Rhinolophus ferrumequinum: one gene and its partner. The protein of the gene in region 2 interacts with the protein of the main gene of each other region in a biochemical or structural test. Links are inferred from orthologs where the notes say so. Each region holds a gene or a part of one and is shown on either strand. Other genes may lie near its edges. The genes, in order: S100A4 and AREG.

Region 1 (11,411 bases), on a different chromosome or scaffold from region 2:
TCCCAGCTTGCCCCACCATATAGACAGGTAGGGAGCTTAGACAGAAGGACTCACCGAGGAAGAAATAAGCCAGGGAACCCAGGCAGCAGAAGTAGGCTCACTCCCACTGCTCTCTGCCTTTATTCCCTCTCTCCAGTCTCTGGGAAACCAGGGCAGGGGCAGGGCCAATGAGAAGAGGCCAGGGACACGAGGAGACCCAGGTCAGAGCCTCCTGGGACAGGACTGGGGACGAATCCAGTGGGGGAATGAGTGGGGGACGATGTTTCCTGCCAAGGGCATGGTCAAGGTCAAGGTCATTAGCTGGTCGGGAGCCTGAGGGTTTTAAAGGGCTTTCAAATGGTTTCTCCTAAACCTCAATCATCTTCCTGGGAAAGAATCGTCAGAGACCGTTGGAATGGAGGGCTGAGAGACAGGGATTGGGGCGGGGGTTAGGGAAGGAGAGGGCCTAGGGATGGGGTAGAGCTTGTGGACTGGGGAGAGCGGGTTCCAACGCAATAAGGAACCGGGTAGGGGTCAGGGATAGCTGCCTGGGACCCAGGAGAGACTCAGACAGTGTTCTACCACCAAGCAGCCCAAGTCTAAGAACAGGACCGAGTGAGGGGTCTAGGACCTACGGCTGCTGCGGCCCCACCCTAGTCTGCCTGGATCCTCCGCACTGCACTAGAGAGGCAGCCAGGACTGGTCGCCTAGCAACAGGAGTTCCCAGGTAGAGAGTGATGCAGGAGGCTCAGGCGAGCGCACGCCCATGGATGAGGAAAGAGAAGAGGGAGGAGGAACACTTTTTCCTGGACTAAAATTCCACCCAAGTCTCTGTAGTCACACTCTGACGGAGTATCTGAGTCACCTACCCAACTCTTCTGAAACTTGAGAGAACAACACATGTGATGAGAAGAAAAGGGCAAAGCTCCAACGGTCACGGGGACCCAACCCTCCTGCCTCTGGACCTGCCCTCTCTACTCAGCTCTTCCCAAAGGTCCCCATCCCACCCAGGCATGGCCTGGAAACCTACCCTCAGCGGTCCCCACTGCACACTGGGCTACTGGCTTTTAACCTAAGGAGAAGCAATCCCGTGCCTGGTATTTTCTTGAGGGTGGGGAATCTCAACTTTATTTCTGTGTCTGGAGTTTTGTCTCCAAAATTACAGTCGCCTCCCACCATCTCCCTCTCTCCCACCCCAGCCACTGTCCTCCACTCATCCCTTCCAAGGTCCTTTGTCCTTCTCTGAAAGAACATGATTAATAATTAAGAACAGATGTCACTCACCGCAGGGCCTTTGGGGCAGACCCGGGGGTTGGAGAAGGACACATTCTCAGGCTGCTGCAATGGCCTGGCCACCCCCACAGCGCCTCCCTGATCTGTGGGGACATCCCCCTGGGGTTGGGAGCCAAGGCGCTGGAGGGCGGTGGCAGGGCAGGGCCTGGGCTGTGGACGGCGGGACTGAGCCCTTCTCCACATTCCACACGGGCCTCGCTGCTCCCCGTGACTCAGCCCTTTTCCCCACCTCACCCCCAGGGCACCCAAACTCCTTTCCAAACCCCAACCAGGAGCAGATGTGATCTTCAATCCCACCGAGCCTCAGTTAGAGGTCCTGCCAGAGGCGAGGTGAGGGAGGTGGGAGGGGCGGGTGCTTTGGATAAGGTCCCACAGCTCGGGCGGTCCAAGCCTCTGGGGGCCCCCTTCCTGCCCCCGGTCTCTTCAGAGTCAATGCTGTCACACACACACACACACACACACACACACACACACACAGTCAGCCCACATCCCTCCCCCACCTTCACTAGTCTCCACAAAACTGCAGCCTACACCCAGAGTCCCGCACCCCCCCAAATCCCTCAGCTTCCACCCCACACCCCCACAGAGTCTCAGACCATCAGCCTCGTAGCTTCTAAGAATCTTTATTGACTTGCTCAGCATCGTACACATGTCTGAAGAAGCCCGAGTGAGGTTCTGTGCCCACTACCCCCAGGGTGGACCCCAGCTGGCAGGCCCCCCACTCGCATCTGGGGAGCCCTCATTTCTTCCGGGGTTGCTTATCAGGGAAGCCCTCGAAGAACTCATTGCACATCATGGCGATGCAGGACAGGAAGACACAGTACTCCTGGAAGTCGACCTCGTTGTCCCTGTTACTGTCCAGGTTGCTCATGAGCTTCTGGAAAGCGGCCTCATCCGTCCGTTTCTGCAGGGGGAGAGGTTACAGGTAGAAACCGGGAGTCTGGGGACAGAGCCAAAACTAGAGCAGGCTTCTTCCTGCAGACGGAGCTCAGGCAGGTGCAGCCACTCCTGGGGGGCCCAGCTTTGGAACTCCAGTCTTCAGGGCCAAGCTAGGGAGGGAGAGTACCTGGATGCAACTGGAAAAGGGGACCACATCTCTCCCCCGGGGGGACAATCGTCATGAAAGCAATATATGTCTAAGTTGCATAAAGTTTGATACAGATGGAGCTAGGATTGCTCAGGGGAAATAGGCGTGTGAGTGTCTCCGTAACTGTGCCTTCTTCACAGGTAAAAACCAAATAGAAACTCAAAAAATGGTTCTTTGCTGCAGTGATGGCAAGAGGTGGACCGCCCTGGTTCGTGGACCTCAGCTTTGCACGCTGACTACCTTGGGAAGTTCCTTAGCCCCTCAGAGCGTGAGTTGCCCTTCTGGTCGGTCGTGCCAAGCCCCTGGCCGACTGCCTGGTCCCTAACAGCTTGTTCGTTCTCAGCCCCCTTTTCTGCTGGGCGCCAGGAAATGAGTGACAGGTGCTCACCACGTCTCCACCCGCCTCCGTGACAGATGCCCGCGGCAATGACTGCCCTGCAGAAAGACTGGTGCCTCCCAGGGCCCTGTCCAGCCTCTGACGGGGACACACCACTGGGGGACATACTTCCAGGCAGTAGCCACTCACCCCCAAGAAGCTGGGCATCTCCCGGGTCAACAGGTCCTTTAGCTCCGACTTGTTGAGCTTGAACTTGTCACCCTCCTTGCCTGAGTATTTGTGGAAGGTGGACACCATCACGTCCAGGGCTTTCTCCAGAGGTTGTGCCATGGTGGTTGTCAGGATCTGGGGGTCACAGAGGCATCCTTATCTTCCCCACCCCACCCCAGCTATGCCCCACCCACTCCCATGCCACAGGGGGAGCTGGGAAAGGTGGGTCTCAGCTCCTGGTGGGGAGGGCGTGCACCATGGGAAATGCATGCTTCAGGCAGCAAACACTTCCTGGATTTCAGGCATGCAGGCCCTGGATTTCAGCATGCAAGCTCCCAGGGCGCACTCAGTCCTTTTGGTCCCACAGCTCAGCCCACAGCAGCCCGCCCAGCCCATTCTCCCCGCCCCCCCCCCCCCCCCCAATGCTGGGCGAGGCTGCTGGAGGCCTGCCCAGCATGGAAAAAACCCGGGGTCTAGCGTAGGGAGGGCAGGGTGAGGTGGCAGAGGCAGGGATGCAGGCGAGGGCCGGGGAGGCCAAGTTTGGGCTGGGCTGCTGGAGCTGGCCAGAGGCTGATGGGACACTGCCAGACAAAAGCCCACGGTTGCCTTCTGACTTCACTTTGCTTCCCACACCCGAGTGTGCACACACAGGCTTGTGCAGCCCAGCAAACACAAGCCAATGTGCGCACCCACGAGTCAAACATGCACCAGGACAACACTACAGCCACACAACATACTATAGAGAGCTTGAATCCAGCCAACCGCACGCGTCTTTCTTTTTGTTTCCGTTCTCCCTTGCTCATGCACGGGCGCGCACACATGCATCCCACCCCAGAGCTTCCACATCGGAACCGCACATCTGGACCCACTTAGCACATCTGGCCCCCACCAGCCTCCCCTTCTCCTGTCCCAGCCTCAGCCTGACACCCGATGCGTGCCAGTCATGCGACCACAACTCACCAGGTCGAGAGAGAGGAAACGCTGAGAAGAGAGGGTTGGGGAGACAGGAAGAATGGGGAGAGCCCAGCGGTTGGACCTATTTATACCCTGGGCAGGCCCTGCCCATGGCAGAGGATGGGGGAGAACGGGAGACAACCCTCTGCCCGGCCTGTGTGATGCATGCCAGGCCCCCCTCCCCGCCCCCCGCCCACCAGCCCAGCCTAGAAATGCAGCTCCCTGCCCCTGGCAGCCACAGACAATGGGCGAGCCCCAGTGGGCGCAGGCAGGGGCCTCAGCCCCACCCCTCCTCCCCCCAGTGTACACAGCTCAGCCTGAGTTTTAGGGAACTGGAGGAAGGGACAGTCTGTGCCTGGAGCATAGAAGACAGGGAGCAAGTGGTCCCACCCAGCAGCTAGGAAAGGGGGTCCAGGGGTGGTGGGTGACAGGTGGGAAATTGCCCTGAGGGAGGGGACCCCAAGCTCAGCGCTTGGCACAGCTGACACTGCCTTTCTCCCTTCCCCAAAGTGTTCTCTGCCATGTTGAGTGAGGCCCAGGGCAGGAGCTGGGGGGCTGGGAGAAGCAGGTATCCCCCAAAGGAGGCCCTGGGACCAAGCTTGCCAGTGATGAGACAGAGGTGGAGTGGGAAGTGGGAGGCAGGTGTGGGCCTCAGGGACGGTGTGAAGGTACTAAGAGCAGGCGGGGAGGGGCAGAGGTCAGGAACGGGAGTTTAGAGTTGTGCTGGGCGTCAGGAATGACGAACAGGGTGGGAAGTGAGGGGTGAAACGGCCCAAAATGGGGGATTCACCCCTTGGGTGGGGTATAAACTCAGGGATTGAGAGCAGGTCAGAAGTGGGGGTTAAGCTCCTCAGGCGGGGGTGGTTTCGGGCGTGGAGTCTGCCTCAAGGGCTCCTCTTCCCGCTCCAAGGCCAGGCACCCCTCCCCGGTGTGGGACAGCACCCTAATCAGACCTCAGGCGCCCTAATCCTATTAGTGCCACTCTGGGCGCCCACAGCCCGGGGCAGGGAACAACCCCGCCCCAGACCCAGGGCCCCACCCTCCGTTCAGATCATCCTGTCATGAGGACTGAGTTCCATCCCCAGGGAAGCTCCGGCTGCCCTCTGGCTCCCAAAGAGAGAGACACAGAGAGAGAGACAGAGAGAGCCCAACACGGTCTGTGTGGATCCCACCCCTCCTGCTGGACCCGTGACATCCTCCAGTGGAAAAGTCCAGAGAGGAGCCATGACCTCCGCAGGACTGCCCCCCGGCTGGCCTGTAAGAAGAACCAAAGCACACCGAGTGACACCAGGTCTTTATTGGGAGTTCAGCAGGCCCTTTCCCACCAGGGCCTCCTTCGTGCACATGCTCTGGGGGGCCTGGGCAGTCTCAAAGCGCCCCTGCCTCTCCCATCACACACCACAGCCGGGAGGCAGCGGGTGGCCGCTCTGCATGTCACTAGCTGTGATCCTGGGGACAGGTCCCTTCACAGGTCCCTGCCCCAGGCAACAGGGGTTAGGATATCAGGGGCAGACCTGGGAGATTCCACATGAGAAGGATGCAGAAGAGAGGGCAGGGGGTATGGGTGCCATGCCCAGGACCCCACAGGGCAGAGCTGGAGCAGGTCCCGGGCAGACCCTGCGGCAGAGGCTACTGGGGGCAGGGGGGCTCCGGGGAGCAGTCCTTGAAGTAGTCATGGCAGTAGGTGCAGAGGCAGGCCAGTGAGCGCACGTACTCCACGAAATCCACCTCGCCGTCCTTGTTGGCGTCCAGAACACTCATGAATTTACTGTAGTCACACTCCCGGAACTCCGTCTGTGTGGGGGAGGGGGCCACGGGGGGCAGGATGCCTCACACACGCTGCTTCCCTCCCCCTACTCCTGGGCGATCCCACCCATCCCAACCCACAGCCCTTCTGGGCCCAACCTGGCCGACCTGCTCTGATAACTCACCGTGCCGACCCCCGCCCCCCCCCATTCTCCTTCCCAGATTATTTGTGGAGCAACCCACTATGGCTGCTGAGGGCCTCCTGTGTGTTTCTTTACTGTACTCTCACTGCATCCTCCAGCAGCCCTGCAAAGCGGCACGTGTGATGAGGAAACGATTCCTGCCCTGTCACTTTCCTGCCTGGTGTCCTCGCCCCACGGTCTGGCCTCCCCCACTTCCTGCTGTCCTCTGCTCAGAGCGTGTCCCAGGCCTCTCTGTGCAGAGTCCAAGCGGTATTCCCCAGAGGCTGGGCACCCCAGGGGCTCACCGGGGTCCAGGTGGGCAGCTCCTTCTGCACCAGCTCCTTGAGCTCCGCCTGGCACAGCTTATGCTTGTCCCCGCAGCGCCCCGCATATTCCCGGAAGGTGCAAACGATGGCAGCCACCGCCTGCTCCAGAGGCCTGGCCATTCTCACTGTCACAGAACAAAGATGTGGCCCATAGCAGAGGCCCCGGTCACCGCCCTGTACCTCTGCCCTCCATGTTCCGGGCCTGTCCCAGACCTGTCTTCATTTCCACACAAGCCCGCCTCCTCTGAGCAGCCCTCCCTGACCACACCAGCACCTGCTAATCTATTTCTGTGCTGTGCCCCCATTGTTATTTTCCTGGACAGAGGTCTCATTTCCCCAACATCACTGCAAACCCCTCAGGGAGAGTGCCCTCCCCCGACCCCCCCACAGAGGATTCCCTGATTCTCTCCACCTTTTCTCATCCCCAGCACCCAGGAAGGACTCAGTCCCACTCTGCACCACGCCATGACAAGCAGCTCCCGACCCTGGAAGGCTCCTTCCTCTCAGGACCCCAGATCTCCTTCTGTAGGAACTCGTTCAACCCTTGCCCGCTCTCCCTGTTCTCAGGCCCTTGGAGGAGCCGGGCATTGTCAGGGAGGGTCGGGTCTGAGAGGAGCTCCCACCACCTCACCACCCTTCACCATCCCTCCTCCCCCGAACTCAGGGACTCATCATCCAAAGGAAATGCCCCCTGCCTCTCACTAGGTGTGCAGTCCCAGGTGAGCCATTTACTCCGACCTGGGTCTCAGGTGCGTTATCTGTAAAGTGGGGTCAGTCCCACCTCACAGGCCTAGTCGGGGAGCAAGCTCAGGCATTTACCAATCTGTGATCTGCCCCAGCTGAGCCCACCCTCCGGACCCCTGGGGGTCTTGAGACAGGAGGCTCAGCATTAGGGTACCCTGTTCTGTTAGAGGGGAAGCCCTTCATGGCACTGCCCCCCTCACCCCACTCCACCCCATTCCACTGGACCCTTGCATCGCCTTCTGGGAAGAGCCTCCAGCCTGGTGAAACCCGAAGGCAGCCAGGAAGACAAGTGTTGTTTTCATGTGAGCCCGGTGACTCACTCGGTTCCCCCAGGGGACAGGAGTCTTGTAACAAGGCAGCCAGGGCCAAGCCTCTCCCTCTAATGAGTCCCCCTCTGCTGGGCCCTGTACAGCAAATGGCCAGCACGGTTGTGGCTATGGAAAGGGGGAGGCGGGGGTGATGGGACCAAGCACCCCCCGGGGTCTGACTCTTTGTGCCGGCCCAGGATTGGAGCAGGCTGTCCACCTTCCCAGGACAGGAAAGGGCCCTGATCCCAGGGACTAAGCCTCACGGGTGCTCAGCTGCCCCTCTGGGCTCCTGCCAGCCTGCCTGGCGCCACCACTGCTGCTTTTCCAGAAGCTAGGTGCCTAGAAACCCGAGGGAATCTGTTGTTCCCCATGCAGCCTGGCCTGTCTCAACCCGTTGGAAGAAAGAAGGACGGAGGCAAGGGGAGTTGCAGGGGGTTCACTGAGGGTCTCACCAGTGCTTTTAGCCCATTGGCCCCTCCCCAGGGCCAGACCTCAGCCCTGCACGCCCCTAACCCAACCTTCCCGACAGCCCCTCACCGTACAAGAGAAGCTGTGACTTCCCTCACCCCATCAATCCCAGCTTTGGTCATCCCTCTGCCCCCGTGCCCACACCCGGGACCAGGGGACCCTCCCTGAACTGCCCGACCCCCAGTCCAGAGCAGGACCCAAGCAGTTGGCACTCACCCCTGGTGGTTGGCGGTTCAGCTGTAGGAGCCTAGAGACAGGGCAGCCCTATTTGTAGTCTCCCAGGGAAGGAAGAGGGCAATTATGGGGGGCCCAAGTAGGTCAAGCTGAGGGTGCCCCCGGGGGCTTCCCTGCCTCCTTCCCTGGCAGTCCCTATTACAGGCCCGGCCGCCCACCTATCCACGCACACATCAAAGACCCAGTCTGGGCATCAGACACTGCACCCCTTCATTCCCCCTCCGCCCTCCCCTAGAGCTGGGAACTGGGGACAGCCTCCTGCCTGTCCCCTTCTGTCGCTGGAGGAGACAGGCTGGGCTAGTCCATCAGATCCATTCCCTATCTCCTCACTCTGAACAGACACCCCGTAATACAATGTGGGAACACACTCTAGCCTGGCGTACATCTATGCCCCCAGAGAACCCCTGCGCCAGGGGTTCCCCTCTTGGAGCATCTGGTTAAGCCCTTCATTTACAGGTGAGAAGACGGAGGCCATGGGACACACCTGCCTGATCCCCAGATGTGTGTTTGGTAGCTGTGGGCTGCCAACTGCTCGCCTCCCTGGGAAGGGCAGCTGCGGGATGTGCTGGGGAAGAAAGAGTCTCCTTCTACCCTTCCAGGGTCTTGGGCTGGTCTCATACTCAAATTGACATACGACACATTAACAGAGTAACACATTTCATTCCCTACGTGGGGGGTGCTCCATAAGAATACGGGGCCCACAGGCAGTCAGGTGACAGGGGCTTATGTGCTCTTCTGAACTAAGGAGAAGGGGCTAGGGATCTGGGACTTCAAAAAGGAGGAAGACAATTCACATGGAGATGGAAAAGCAAATGTGGAAGGGTCAGGGAGGGACTCAGAGAGGACTCTGGCTCCAATCACAGCTGAGCCCCCCTTCAACACACCTACCCCCATTCTTTGTAGATCTCTCTGGGGATAGAGCTCTTCCTGGACCAGGCCCTTTACCTAAATTATTTCAGACAGTTAAAGGGGAGGTAAAAGTACTTTCTTAGGCTTTGGGGCCTCCATTGTCTTCAGCTCAAAATGATGTCCTGCCAGGGATGGCACGTGCTGGGGATCCTTCCGAATGCCCACGGATGACTTTGAGGCACAGGAGGAAGGTGTGTTTTGCTCCTAGGGGCGTTTGCGTCCGTCTAGGCTGAGTTCTCTGGCTACACTCCCCCCCGACCCCCTCCCACAGTGCTGTGCGTGGAGGTGGGCTGCAGACTCCTGCATGGGCTGCCTGGGACTAGAGCTCAGCCCCACTGTTCCTTGTGATCCCATGGGGTGGGGTGGGTTTCCTCAGCTTTGAACTGAAGCAAGTAGCCCTTTAGGGTCCCAGTATGATGGGGAGTGTCCCCCTTGTTGCCCACCTCGAGTGAGCCCTGGGCTTCGGCTCTGTGTTCTTCACTCCACAAACCGTCAAAGCCAAAGGTCATTTTGGCTCGGTTTGGCCAATGTCTTCCAGGCGCTATTAGCCCTGGTGCACTCCTCGCCTCCCGGAGTCTGCTTTACTGAGAGCTTGATCTTCCCACTCCTTCCTGCCTTGTCAGCATTCAATACTTTGAAAAAGATTTTTTTTTTTTTTTCAAATTCTATCCCGCATTTCTTGTTGTTGTTTTTAGCTGGAGCAGGCACAGACCACCGTATTACCAAAAATGGAAATCCCTTCTGAAGAGGTTCAGAACAGGCCTCCCCAAGATGTGTCACTTGGGCTGGTGAATTATTTTGAGCTGAAAGCAACCGAGACCCTGTGGGCCCACGAGAAACGTTTACCCCTCCCTTAAGCAACGTAAATGAGTTATAATGAGTTATCGCCAGAAAGTTCTTCTATGTGGCAGTGTAAACATCTAATTACTGAACACCTGCTCTTTTTATCGTCGCGCCTATGACCCTCCCTACCTCTAACGCCCCCAAGGCACCTTACCTCATCCTCCGCTCAGAACGTCATATGTGCCTCAGTTTAACTTTCTGCCTCTGAACCTCTCGTGTCGCTGGGATTCCCACACATACGTATGTAATTAAACTCGATTATTTTTCTCTTGTTAATCTGTCTCGTGTTGCTTTAATTATTAGACCAGCGGGGAGAAGCGAGGCGGGGAGAGCAAAGTTTTTTCCTCCCCTCACTTCATGTCACTTCTCCATTCCCTCCCTCACCCCTGAACCTGAGAGACCCCTCCTCATTTCACAGAGAGAGAAGCCAGGACCCAGAAGAGTGTGGGAAGGGCCGGAGGCGGTGAGCTCCTCGTAGACGCAGCCAGAGCAATAACACCTTGAGGTCACCCCAGGCCCCCAGTGCCCAGACCTCGCCTGTGCCACTTTCTCCTTGAAGACCCAGCCCCTCTGGGTGAGGAGAGCAAGCAACTGGGAGGGAAGGGCAGGCTGTGATTAGCCCTGTTTTATAGGCAAGGAATTAGGGGGAGTTGGGCACGGAAGTGAGGGCCAGAGTGGCCCCGCAATTAACTCGGTTCCAGGTCAAGCATTTATTCTCGTCTGTGATATCCCCGCTCCACCACCAGCCACCTCCCGGAAGCCAGTCATCCCCCAGCTCTGGCCCTCATTTTCCTCACCTGTCAATCATCGAGGGCAATAATGGAAACCACTTCACAGCATGGCGGTGGGGCTTAAATGAGCTAATCCATACAAAGCTCATAAATAAGGAGAGCCTGGCACATGATAAGGGCATCAATGTAAACTGAGAGGTGGGTACCTTGCCCAAGGTCACGTGACTCGTCAGTGGCAGGGCGAAGGGCCATTCGTTCTTTATAGAAACATTTAGAGACAACTGTCCACAGCATTGAGGGGGCAGCCGTAAACTAAACAAAGTCCCTGCTCCGTGGAAATGACAATCTAACGAAGCAAACAGACAATAACAAATACGTGTGTGATAGACTGTAAATAGACGGGTTGAAATGCCAGGGAGAACACTAAAGCAGGGATGAGGGAAGGAAAATGGTGGTGGGCCCAGGGATCTTTATATACGTGGTCAGGGCAGAGCCAGGCGAAGGGGGCAGGAGGGGGCAGGCAGAGAGGGAGGTCTGGGTACAGGCGCTTTGGGGACCGTCATGGAAAGAACCCTTCCTCGGACCCTCCCCCCTAGTTCCACGTCCCTCTTGCCACCTGACTTCGAGCACGTCCTTTGTCTTGTTTGGGCCTTAAATTTCTTGCCCTCCTAAATGGATTGGGAAGATTCCTACCTGAGGCTCGGATGTCAAAGTGCTCTGCGTCCCTTGCTGTTACTGTGGACGATGTCAGGGCAGGGGTCTCTGAGTCACTCAACAGTCATTCGCTGTCCCTTTAACAAAGGCAGCAGGGAGAAGTGAGGTGGAGGAGAGAAGCAAAATGACCTCACCAGGTCATTTTGTCCAGCCTTCTGCCACCACGCTGGCCAGGGGCAGAGCTGCAGCCTCCCTTCCCTTGCTTTCTGAATTCTTCCTGCCCCGGCATCCACCCTGAGACCCCTTCTGCAGTGGTTCCAAACGCACATCACACTAACCGCCCCTCCGAGGCCCAGACAGGGACCATCCTCCTCCTTCTGCACCCCCCATTGTCCACACTGCCCAC
Region 2 (12,339 bases):
CAGAACTTTGCATTCTAAAAGAAGAAGACATGTCTTTTGTTGGCTCTTGTTTTGAAGCTCTTTGTGATTTTTAGTACCAAAGCAGTATCTCTGACAACCTGCTATGAATGAGGCCTTAATTAGCTTCTGGGAGGCTTGCTTATTCTTGATAGTCATAGAAGATACCAACACTTCAAGACGTAGAAGTAGTCAGAGGTAGAGTAGAAATATGACATAAAACAAAACCATTTCTTAAGTTCAAAAATTTCTCGATTTTCTGATAAAGGGCTTTACACATTAAATTTCAGTGGTGGCCAAAGTAATATAAATTTGGATCATATTCTGTGATACTTGTCAATGAAGTATAACGATATGACCAAAAATCATGTGCCACCAATAGAATAATTCACCTAAGTATGATAATACATTGTGACAGAAATACTGAAAACAAATTAACCAAAATAATTAAACAAATTATTTTATGAGGAATTTTTAAGTTATGCCATACTTACAGGATTGTAATAACAACAGCAATAGCTGTGAAACCCACAACTGTGACAAAGGCAGCTATGACTGCTAACGCAATTTTTGATAAATCACTGTCAACCATGCTGTGAGTCTTCATGGACTTTTCCCCACACCGTTCACCAAAGTAATCCTGAGGACATCTGTAAACAACACACATTCCAAAATCAAAATAACTGAAAACACTCTGTATGTTTTAGGCTTACTTTCCAAGTCATAACCATTTAATTCTAACATTAAAAAAAAAAATGTCATTCCATAGATTTGCATTTCAAAAACATGAGACATAGAACGCATTTGAGCCAAAGACCTATTTGCATAAGAACAAATTGAGATTAGTTTGGGTGTGATACTCCAGGAAGACACACCTTTTCATTCTTGAGCTCCTTTTATGACCAACTGATGAGTTCAGTGACTTGTTATGCAGCTAATATAATAATACATTCCACTATCATTTCATGTACTAGCAGCTTTTGGGGGTAAAGAGGATAGAACAACATTATGTGAAAAGTATCTTTAGGTCCTTTTTTAACTAGAGGTTTTATAAAATATGTGTTGTAAAATGATGGTTTATACCAGGAGCCAGCAAACTACAGCCCTTGTGTCAAATCTGGCCACTTGCCAGGCTCTTTTTATTTTTTCTGACAGTGGGCAAGCCTAGAATGGTTTTTACGTTTTTAAATGTTTACATTTTAATTGGTCATATTAGTACATACATAATCTTGACCCAAAAATCCTAAAATATTTACTTTCTGTCCCTTAAGGAAAAAGGTTTGCAGAACTTTGTTTTTTACATTAGAAAAATAAATGATTTTCTACAGCTAGGAATTTCAGACATGGTGTTAGAAATACAGAATTCTATATAATTTAGGAAAACTTACTTGCATGTTACTGTTTCCAGGTGCTCTATGTATTTGCATTCTCCATTAATGCAGAAATTTTTAAACTCTGCGTCACACGGATTTTTCTTCTTTTTGTTTCTCCTATTTTTTCCATTTCTGCCTCTTTTTTTCTTTCTTTTGGGTTTATCAGAAGTTTGTTCAGTTTCTGTTTTGTTCTTCTTGGGTTTAACTACCTGTTCAACTAAAATTTAAAAATACATGTATTTATTGACAACAATCTCTCTTGATCTTAAATATCATTTTGGAGAAGAGGGAATGAATTCCCAGCAGTGAGAGCTCATATGTCCATATTTGTTTCATTATTTAACACAAGTCATCTACAATAATTGGGCAAAGAGAGTATCTGTATTGTGTGGCACTTAAAAATCTGAATCCTTTGTTATTACCTTAGAAACATATTCTGAATTTATTTCTATCAGTATTAGTATTGTTGTTGTTATTATTGATTATTTGAGTTACCTATCTAAGAAAAATCCATGAAATATTTTATACATTTGTTGAATTTTTAATTTATACCAAGTTCTTGGTAATGAGCATTTATTCAATTTAACCCAAATCACAGTTGAATGTGTTGTAACCCAGATGATACAGATAAGAACACTGAAGTTGAGTGAAGACAAGTAAATTGCCCTAGGATACACAACTAGAAAATGGCAGTGTTGGGATGTTAAAGCCTGTTATTTCTTCACCACACGGTGTTTTCTCATGGAAAAGGTCAATGCCATTGATTAAAGTGGGACGTGGGTATATTTGTGGATTTTATTTACTTATATCGGTCTAGTGCCGATTATGATAATTGGGAATTAGTGTGTATTACCTGGGGGTGGAAAAAAACAGATATCTACATTAGAGTTAATCAACTTTCTCCAACTCCCATATTATAGCAGATTATAATCGATACCTTTCAGGGAATACATTTCTGTGATCAATCTATTTGGAAAAATAGGAGACAGATATAGTTGTACTTGATTTTTCAGAGATTCATCTTAACTCTTCAGATCCACAGAAACATTTGTTCAGTGTTACAGTTATGCAGGATAGAGTTTACCCACATGTTAAATATAGGAAGGAGGAGTTGCCATGCTAGAGCTGTGCATTTTGTTCTACTAATCCCTGAATAGGTTTATCTGAACAAGTATTTAGCAAACAGCTCAGTGAAAAGAAGCAAATATGATAATGTCATTTATTCCATTAGTCATAATGGTCCTGCAGCACCCATTAAATAGAAAACATTAGAAACATAGGGAAGGATAGTCAAGATACAACCCTGTGATTATGGAAACTGCAAATAAATATTATGAATATTTTAGCTGGTTATTATGACAACATTAACAATAGTCAAATTAGGGGCAATGTTTAATAGGAAGATATGCAATTTTTATATTGAAACTTTCCTCTGGTGATAAAAAACTGCCATGAGTTAGAAAAAGTCTACTTGTAGAAACATCTTAAATGGCTACGACTGCACTTTATCAAACATGTTACAAATTTTAGACAGAGGCAAATAGTCACTATGCTGAAGTGCTGCAATAGACATTAACTCCATGGGTTCTACAGCCTTTCAAGGGAGTTCAACCAACATTTTCACTCTTATCTCACAATGCATTGCAATTTAAAGCACTACCCATTTTCACCACTAACAATTTATTTGGCCTTTTGAATTTTTAACAGCTTGAAACATTTTTAAGAGAACAATTTTAAGAATCTGGATGGTCTAATATCATTCCTCCAAAAGTAAACATTATAATGCACCCTCTTCCTACCGTACGTAAAAGTGTAAGTTCCAAAGCAAGGGAGTCAAGTGGAGCATTCACTGGAATTTTCCAACCAGTCACTATCTCTATGGTGTCATCAGTTCTGCCTTTAACAGTTCTGGGAGCCAGACAGAGGTGGAGGAGTCAGGGAAACTAAGGTCAGGAGAGAAGGGGCCTTATGTCCTGCTTCCATAGTGGATGCTCCTAGGATATTTAGATCTGATTTAGTGATGACCTCATCTGTCCTCAAACTCCAAAGTAATATGAAGGTACTGAGCAATACTTACCTCTTACTTTGGTACCCTTATTTTAAACAGATTCTCCCTTTTAAAGATCAGATAACATCACAAGAAAAGAAAACTATGGGTCACTATTATTGAAATGACAACTGGGATTTGGGGTTAAATTGAAAATTTAGCAAAATCCATGCATATCTGTCCTTTAATATTTCCAGAGAGTATTATTATTATTATTGTTATTATTATTATTATTACCAGTTTCTCAATACCTACTACTTAACGCTAAAGTCCAGTTGCTCTTGTCCCATTCCTTCCTTTCATTCCCATATTTGTGTTAGAATGCAGTTATTTAGGGAAGAGTGGTGATGGGGACCGAATAAAGAAGTTGAGATACAGAGTAGATAGGACTGGTTGGTGTCTATATCTGTCTCTCAGAACGGAGGTCACGTGGTACAGTGGGAAAGGGCATAGTATCTGGAATCAGACAGATAGGGGTTCTCATTCTGGCTTATCTGCTTGCTAGCTGTGGAACCTTGGGCAGAACACTTAATCTTCTCAAGCCTCAGTTATCACATCTGTAAAATGATAATTCGTACTTGATAAAGTTGTTGTGAACATTTGACCTAATAGACATAAACCATGCAGACACATAGGATGTGTCCACATATAGCTCTTTCCATCTCAGTTTCTAGCTCACCTAGCAGAGTGTACTACAGATACACACACCAGAAAGCCACTAGAACATGCTGGGAGTGGCTTTTCTTTTGAAACAGCTTTGGTCAGATAAACACATCAGATAGGCTACATTTTCACTTACTCGCTACTCACCTCTGACTGAATCATCTACGATATAGACTGATATTTGTGGTTCATTATCATACTCTTCTGCATAGTCATAGTCGATCCCTGAGGACAGTTCTCTACCAGACGGAATCTCACTCACAGGGGAAATTTCGCTTTCTGAGGATATTTCACTTCTTGAGGTAGCCTCAAATCCATCAGCACTGTGGTCCCCAGAAAATGGCTCCCCTCTCGCAGAGTGGGTGTCATTGACGTCCAAGCCAGAAGCATAACTGGCTATGGGAGAAAGAACAAAGGAAGAAAAGGTATAGTAGAGTGCTTTTCTCACCAGTCAGCTGCCCTTCAGGAGAAATGTTTATCTTCTGATATCAAAGTAGTTATTGCACATGTGCTATTGTTTGTGATTGAGTCACTTATGAAAGCAACTTTACGTTTTGCCAACAAGTAAACTCAGCTGTTCCAATTACAGAGCTTCTTTCATCAAGGTTTTCTTTTCCGTAGACAGTCTACATTAATTTCCATATCAAAAAAAATACTGCCAAATAGGCAAATTAACCTAATATACATAATTACTTAACAGGTATTGTCTAAATATTCCCATCACTTCACATACCAAATGCATCTGTGTTTGCTAGAATGCCACCTGTCTCATTATATCTAGAACCATAGGCAGGTTCTAGATGTAATGGATAAATACCAGATTTTCTTAACACGTGCTCACATTTATAAAAGACTATATACACAAAATGTAAACATTAATATAAATGGTAATTGATAATAATGATTATTATTGTCATTGTTTCACTATTCTTCTTACACAGAGGGGAAAAACACCCTGGGAAATAGTTAAGATTTGGGACCCAGAATTTCAAGCCCCTGCTTTATAATCCTTTAGGTCTCAATAAAACAGAGTCAGACTAGTGCTTTTAACTTTTCCCTGGGAGGACACCAGGCCTTCTACGAAGATAAAAACAAAATCAGTAGACAGAGGAGATGGAGAATTTAGGCAGGAGGCAGCACTCCTGGGAAAAGGACTTAACCACTGAGATCTGCAGAAATCACTTCACCTCTCTGGACTTCGGTTCCTGTATGTAAAGCGAAGGTTTGGATCACAGGATCTTTAAAGTCCCCTTCAGTTGGACTAAAGTAAAAGTACAGGGGTTCTCCGGGACTCTCTTTCTGGCCCGGAACGTCTGGGACATGTGCTCGCTTTCCTTTCTCCCAAGCAATAACCCTAGGAAGGGGGCCACCGTGAACACCTCCCGTGGGACAGAGTTGGGAACACCGAAGGGCGACTCTTTTTTTTTTTTTTTTTTTTTTTTTTTTTTTTTTAAAGCAGCAACATTCAAGAGGCGACCGCTTTTGCCCGCGGTGGGAGAAGCGCCCGGCAGCTCAGAGCGGGGATGTCCTCACCTGAGCCGAGGATCACGAGCGACAGCACCACCGGCGCAGGCGGCAGCAGCAGGGCTCTCATTGGTCCCTCGGCGCGGCGGCGTCGCGGTCTCTGGGGCAACGGAGACTGGCGCTGTGGGCTGGAGAAGGAGGTGGTGGCAGACCAGGGGGACGAGGGGCGGTGAGCGGCTGCGCTCGACGGCGCGCCGGGATCGGGCGCTCAGCGCAGCGGGAGCTCGCCTCGGGATCGCCGGGCTCCGACTCGGGCGCAGGCACAAGGCGTGCGAACATTCCGGAGGCGCGGTGCTCACCTGCCGCTTTATAGGGCGGGCGGGGACCGAGGTATTGCCCGTGACGTCACAGCCGCCTCTGTGGGTGGAGGCGGCCGCCGCCCCAGAAGAGGTTACTACCCCAAAACCACACACGGATGGCAGGCACCACGCCTCCTTCTAGCGCAGAGAGCCACTGGGAGGAAATGGAAATTAAACCCCAAGCTGCGAGCCTAAAATATGCCAGATCCTAATCGAGGGTGGTAGTGAGTGGTGTTTAGGACCTAAGAATCTGACAAAGTCCCAATTTTTCAAAGTCCGTAAAAAACCTCCGTATATACTTTGGTTGATTTTAATATCATAACAAAGATTAACTAGAGAAGTTCCCTTTTAAGATGCAAACGTACTTTAAAACCAAGAGTAATTTAATGATAGCCCAATGTCTTTAACAAGGATACATGAAATTCATTAAATGACCAGAGAGAGCGCACCTCCGCACGAGGAGCGGCTTTATTTATGATGGGCCTGTGTCTCCACCAAGGGCTCTTTCCCACCCGCTACTGTGAAATGGCCAGAATTTCAAACCATCTCCCTTCCCATTTTTTTTTTTTAGGTGGCCCAGGGTTCTCATCAAAATTAATATTTATTATTGCCAAACTATACACTTAAAATATCACACCATCTCACTCAGTATCCTTGCTGGGTATCATCTTAACCTGTTTTACAAGGACACATGGCAGCTTTAACAAAGCAAGGAGAATTTTACACAACTGGTCATGGCAGAAGCCAGATGGATTTAATTCAAGTTAATCTGACTCTAAAATCTCTTTCTACTCTTATAAAGAAGTTAGACTAAATTGATCTTTGAAAAGAGAGTTTCTGAGAACAACACTTAGCATAAAGGAATAATTTCTGCTGGTAGCATATTGGCACTTGGATGAAGGGTGGTGCCCAAGATTGTTCCTTTCAAAACTGGAGATAAAGGGCCAGCTTTAAAGGCCCATTTTGAACCTAGTCGGGCATTTAATCATGACAAGTAGATAAAATGAAGAGGAGGGAACTGCAGAATTTGACTAACCTTGATGTAGAAATACCACCAGAGTTGGATTGTTCTTGACTTGAAGAAGAGCAAAGAGGCAAAAGCATTGTTCTAAGAGTTGACTTGTCCTAATGATACGTATCTCTTCCTTGATTTTTTCCAGTAAAGCAGCTTTTCTAGCAATGTGGGTCCCAGTGCATTATGTCCTAATTCTGGGAAACTTTTTTTAAGCTACTTACTTTTTAATGGCATATCATAGTGAGTAGGCTAAATAATATCATACATTGAATTTAGTAGGATGAAATACGCAGTCATGACTCATGCCTTCTCTCCTGTTCAACATTTGTTGAGAGCATATTTTGTGTAATCCACTGTGTTTTTTTTTTAATGTGGGATGGGGGCAGTAAAGACGGAGATTAAATGATGACCACCTCCCTGCTGTGCAGGAGTTCCATGTAGTGTGGGTAAACTACACAGAAAAGTAATTCTGTTGTATCAGATGATGAGGATTCAGAATGCCATAGAAAACAAGGATGCAGTTCTATTTTGCCCATTCATATCATGGAAAGCTTTGTGGAAAGATGAGAGGACACTCACTGATTTTTCCCAGCAGAAAATGTAAATGGCAAGAATACCTGATGACAAGGTGTGACCAAGAATGAAGAAAGTAAGACTGGAAAGATGACACTGCCCATGCAAGGGTGAAGCAGACGCCTGCATTGTCATCTTTTTTGGTGGATGAGGCGATTGTGATTCAGAGATTCAGAACGTTGTCAGGAGATTTCAAAAGACGGTGGAAATTTTGTTTAGAGTTCAGGCTATCAGCCTATACTTTTGCACCTTTCTACTCTCATAGATTACCATTTTGTTCTAGTCCTCTATTACCTTTTTTTTTCTCTCTCTTCATATTGAGATGATTCCAATTTGTACATGTCTGTCATTGAAAATATTTTATTTTCTTTAAAATAAAAGTGGGCTCTTTACATTGGAAATTGTTTTGTCTTTTTCCAATTGGAAATTTAGAGTGTAATAATTTATATTGGTATGAAATATAACATAGCATCTTAGGGGCACAATGGTTAGTGCTTAGTATGAGCTTTAGATTCAAACCAATTGGATTTTCATATACAAATTCCACCACATACTAAGTTACTTAATATTTGAAAGACTAAGATTCCTCATCTGAAAATAGAAATAAAGATACCTGCCTGCTGCTAAGCAGATCAAATGAGAGAAGATTCATAAACAGGTAGCACAGATCCCTGCATATAGTGAGTGCTCAAGAAATGGCACTATTATCACTAACCATGACATTATGATAGTTACATTATATCAATCACATTAAAGAATTAAGTAACATAAGTGGAGCTACTCACAGAGCAAGTAAAAGAATTTCCTTCGATATTTTCAAGCTATGAACTCTGTCCTTGCTTCACATTGAGACTAACCATTTTGACTATTTTATGGTGCCTCATAGGGTAACATGGGGCATCATCATAATTGGATCACAATGGCATTACCTTTTTATGACTCATGGCATTCTGTAATATATGCATGAGAAGAAAACCAACCTCATGTAAGTGTGAGATTCTTTACATTATGCATGTTAAGCTGAGACAAAGAGGAACAATTTCAAGAAATTCAAGTAGAGAAGGAACTCTTTTTTATCCTAATAAATTGGTGGTTCTCTCACCTTGTATGAGGTTAAGGGAAGCCCTAAGGGCAAATGCTCTAGCCAACCACTCGTTTTGGTGCCTACTATCTGGATCCTGATAATATCTGATATGTATTATGCAAACAAACTCACTTTGACTCTGATAAAAGGTGTTCCTTAGAACCAAAAGTATAATTATATTTTGTTCATGTAATTGATCTTGAGTTTTTATGGATAGTCCCAGGGTCTGAGTAAGTATTACATCATGGTCATTTTTATGAGTCAATACACGAAACCCCAAACTAAAATTAAGGAATTTTCAAATGGATAAGTAACATTTCCTATATTATTAATAAATGCTTTAGCTCCATTTAAATATCTATAATTTTCTACTTTTCACTTTGGAATTTACTTGTGAAGAATATATGATTTCTAGTTCCTTCAAAAAGAGTTCTCTTTACATGAACTTGATTGTTGGGTACCTTGACAAAGGTAAAATACAATTACTTGCCCTTTACAGCCTTGACATGATGGAGCAAAGCCTAGCAGATGGAGCTGAAGGCAGTGGATGATTTGATATAATGGAAAGTAAGTAAATGTAATATACCATTAACTACATTTGCACAAACTAAAAAAAATGAATCCACTTGATAGTTCATCTACTCATGAAGTATATTTGGAGAACTAGATACTCTTCTAGGTAGTGGGGAGAGAACTTTCAAAAAGTCATAATATCCTTGTTTTTAAGGACCTTATGTTCTTATTAAGGGGAAAAACATAATAAGCAAGAAACAATACATAAAGGAATTTTCAGTAGTAAGAAGTGCCAAGAAAGAAAATATGTGATATAGAGAACTTGGAATGGTAGAGAAAGATGATAAAAAGAAATAACAAGATAGGACCTACACTTAAGTAATTCACAGAATAAACAGATAGCAGAATAAAATGGAGAAGATTATCCTACTAAATAATAATAACTGTGGAAGAACAGAGATAGACATGGACAGGAAGAATGAGGGATGCTGAACAGACAGCGGCCTTGAATTGGGCCTCAAAAATGTGGAGGATTTGGGGGGTTCTACAAGAATTCATTTCACTAATCTTTTCTCAAATACCCCAAGAGCTCTCTTCAGCTGAGCAAAGGTCAGCACATCAGAATCACCTGAGAACTTTTTCAAAATGTACACTCTGTTCTCCTTGCTTGATTCAGTAGGCTTGGTGTGGGACCTGGGTCTGTGTATTTTTTTTAAGAACTTTCAAGGAAATTCTGATGTGCACCTCTGATTAAGAACAACTCCACTCGGAGATACCTAGGCGAAAAAAGTCAAAGTAGTTTCGGAGAGTTTGCTTACCTCTGGGCCTGCACATTCATGTAGATGGAAGTTTCGTTAGAAATGTGAAAGATGGAGAAATAAATTTCAACAGGAAACATGTAAGTTAATGTGATGAAGACATTTATTTTACCTCTAAGAAACTCATGTTACAAACTGATTCAGATACTATTCCTTTAAGTAGGGAGCTACTTTCGTGTAATAAAAATATGTCTGAATATATGGAAAAGAGAAAATCCACTTTTCACTTAGTTCTTCAGGAATCAGTTTGTCACTTAAATAGAATCAGATCTACATTAAATTATTATGGATCTTCCCTAACTCCAGTCTGAATGTTAGACCAGAGAACAGTGTCTGTAACCATCAGACGGGGAATTAAGAAGCATGTCAAATTTTAGTATGCTATTAATTCTTCATTAAAATTAGGATTTCAGAATAAGATTTGGCATGTTATTATTTCAGAAAAGTAATATATTAAAGTCAGATGGTTGAAGTGGTCAGAGTTCTATGAAAGATTTTTACAGATTACCAATTATAGTCATTAAAAAATTATATCCTTGATCTTTTATTATTTCCAAAAAACTTAATCTTTCCATTTCTGCTTTTCCTATATTCTTGTATTTAATTTTGTAGTTTATCACTTCAGTTATCGCACATTCAATATTGTGTGATGATAACTTTTCATAGTCTCTGAACTCTTCTATTTGCCTTTTTCTTACTTAAAAATATACAACACAGGCATATCTCTGAGAATTAAATGAATCTATTATTAATTAACCATAATTTAATGTGCTTCGGTTATGAGTTTAGGTAGTCTCTTTAAATAGTCATAAATTTTTAGCTAAGCTAAGCTAAGTTACATATAGTTTGTTGTATTTACTTATGAACACAACTGGCTTTTGTTTCCGAGTTCAATTAGATCAGCAGTTTTTAAATATCATAGGTGAATAAATTACTAATTTTTTTAATAGACCACTCCTGTACAGTAGGTCATAGGCAGAGATAGGTTGAACCACAAAGAAACTGGCCTTTGTATTTCATATTCCCCAAATCTTTCTGAATGTGTGCACTGAAATTACATGGCCAGAGTAAAAAAAAGAAAAAGTATTTGGAAGTTATATGGAAAAATACAGACACATGTAGAACTCATAGAAAAAAAGGAATTGAAAATGCAGAGGGTGCCAAAAAAAATTTATACACGTTTTAAGGAAAAAAAACTGTATTAAAATTGTAATACTCAATATATACTGATAACAAAAGATGAATACAAGTCACATTTGACTTCTGCGATTACAAGAGGTGCTCAAAGTGGTTACCGTCATCATAATTTTAATACAGTTTTTTCCTTTCTTAAAATGTGTATACTTTTTCCGGCCCCTCTGTGTATATAGATAAATATGTGTGCATAGAAACATTCTGAAAGGATATATAAAAAATGTTAACAATGTTTATCTTTGGCTGAGAAATCAGTTGCTTATCTGTACGTCCTAATATGTGTACAAAGATTATGTATTACTTCTCATTTTTTTAAGTTAAAAACCCCAGTCCAATCATGAGGCTGATTTCTCAAGCAAACTGATTTGACACAATTTCTATAATCAGTCACATCAGTTTCTCCAATGAGGATGCAATTGTGAGAGAAAATGATCGTGTGGGTCCTCTGCTTTTTCCCACCCCTTCATACCCTTGTGTAGTTAGTTGCTCCCAGCACCCGTGTTGTCCTTTGCCGTGTAAGGTAGTGAGGAGTAGAGTGAGGTGATTAAGGTTGTAGCTTCTGAGGGTGAGATGACTGGGTTTTAGTGCAGCTCTTCCCCTTCCCAACTGGGGTAAATTATTAAGTGCTTTGTGGGTTTTAGAGGTTTCTCACCTCTAAAAAAGGAGATGATGATAAGAGTACCAGAGTCATAAAGTATTTGTCAGGTTTAAAAGTGATAATGCATGTAAAACACTTGGAGCAGAATCTGACCTTTCATAATCACTCAAAATATCTAATGTGTTGTTGTTATTATTATTAATAATAACAACAATAATATTGAGACCAATGAAAAAAGTACTATGGATTCCAATAAAATTTTTTCTAATGTGTATTTGTGGACAGAAATAAATAAGAAAATTGTGTTATAACTGATTTCTTAATTTTAGAACCTCTGCTTACTGTGACAGATAAGCCTGCAGGAATTCAAAGGTTTTTTAGAATGATGAAGGCCAAAAGAGTGAGCCCTGTTATTAAGGTCTGGTTTCAAACTGCTTGCACTGCTGACTCCACAGACATGACCTTTCCAGAGCATTACTTGCTTTTAAACATCGAAACTCTACATAGAAGTTTCCGGTCCTTATTTTTTTTTTTTCCAGCTGTTTGATATTTTCCTACCATGTGATTTCAACACACCATAATTTCCTGCAGAATCAGGTCATTTCTACTGTGAATACATTGTGAGGGAAATTTCTTTTGCA

Evidence for each region.
Region 1: the proteins of AREG (region 2) and S100A4 form a complex in vitro, tested with the Homo sapiens proteins (2 studies listed by IntAct, with this or other methods). The link is inferred for Rhinolophus ferrumequinum from reciprocal best matches to the Homo sapiens genes AREG and S100A4.

Annotation. Positions count from the first base shown.
Region 1 is NC_046305.1:52,504,184-52,515,594, forward strand, and holds S100A4 (protein S100-A4), read right to left. Parts: upstream 4,024-11,411; 5' UTR 3,867-4,023; intron 3,042-3,866; 5' UTR 3,027-3,041; coding exon 2,886-3,026; intron 2,177-2,885; coding exon 2,012-2,176; 3' UTR 1,880-2,011; downstream 1-1,879. Other genes in the region: S100A3 (protein S100-A3), read right to left, coding at 5,490-5,654, 6,094-6,234. UniProt on the Homo sapiens protein: Calcium-binding protein that plays a role in various cellular processes including motility, angiogenesis, cell differentiation, apoptosis, and autophagy.
Region 2 is NC_046288.1:31,188,053-31,200,391, reverse strand, and holds the start of AREG (amphiregulin), read right to left. Parts: upstream 5,883-12,339; 5' UTR 5,675-5,882; coding exon 5,614-5,674; intron 4,477-5,613; coding exon 4,228-4,476; intron 1,588-4,227; coding exon 1,386-1,587; intron 648-1,385; coding exon 492-647; intron 1-491.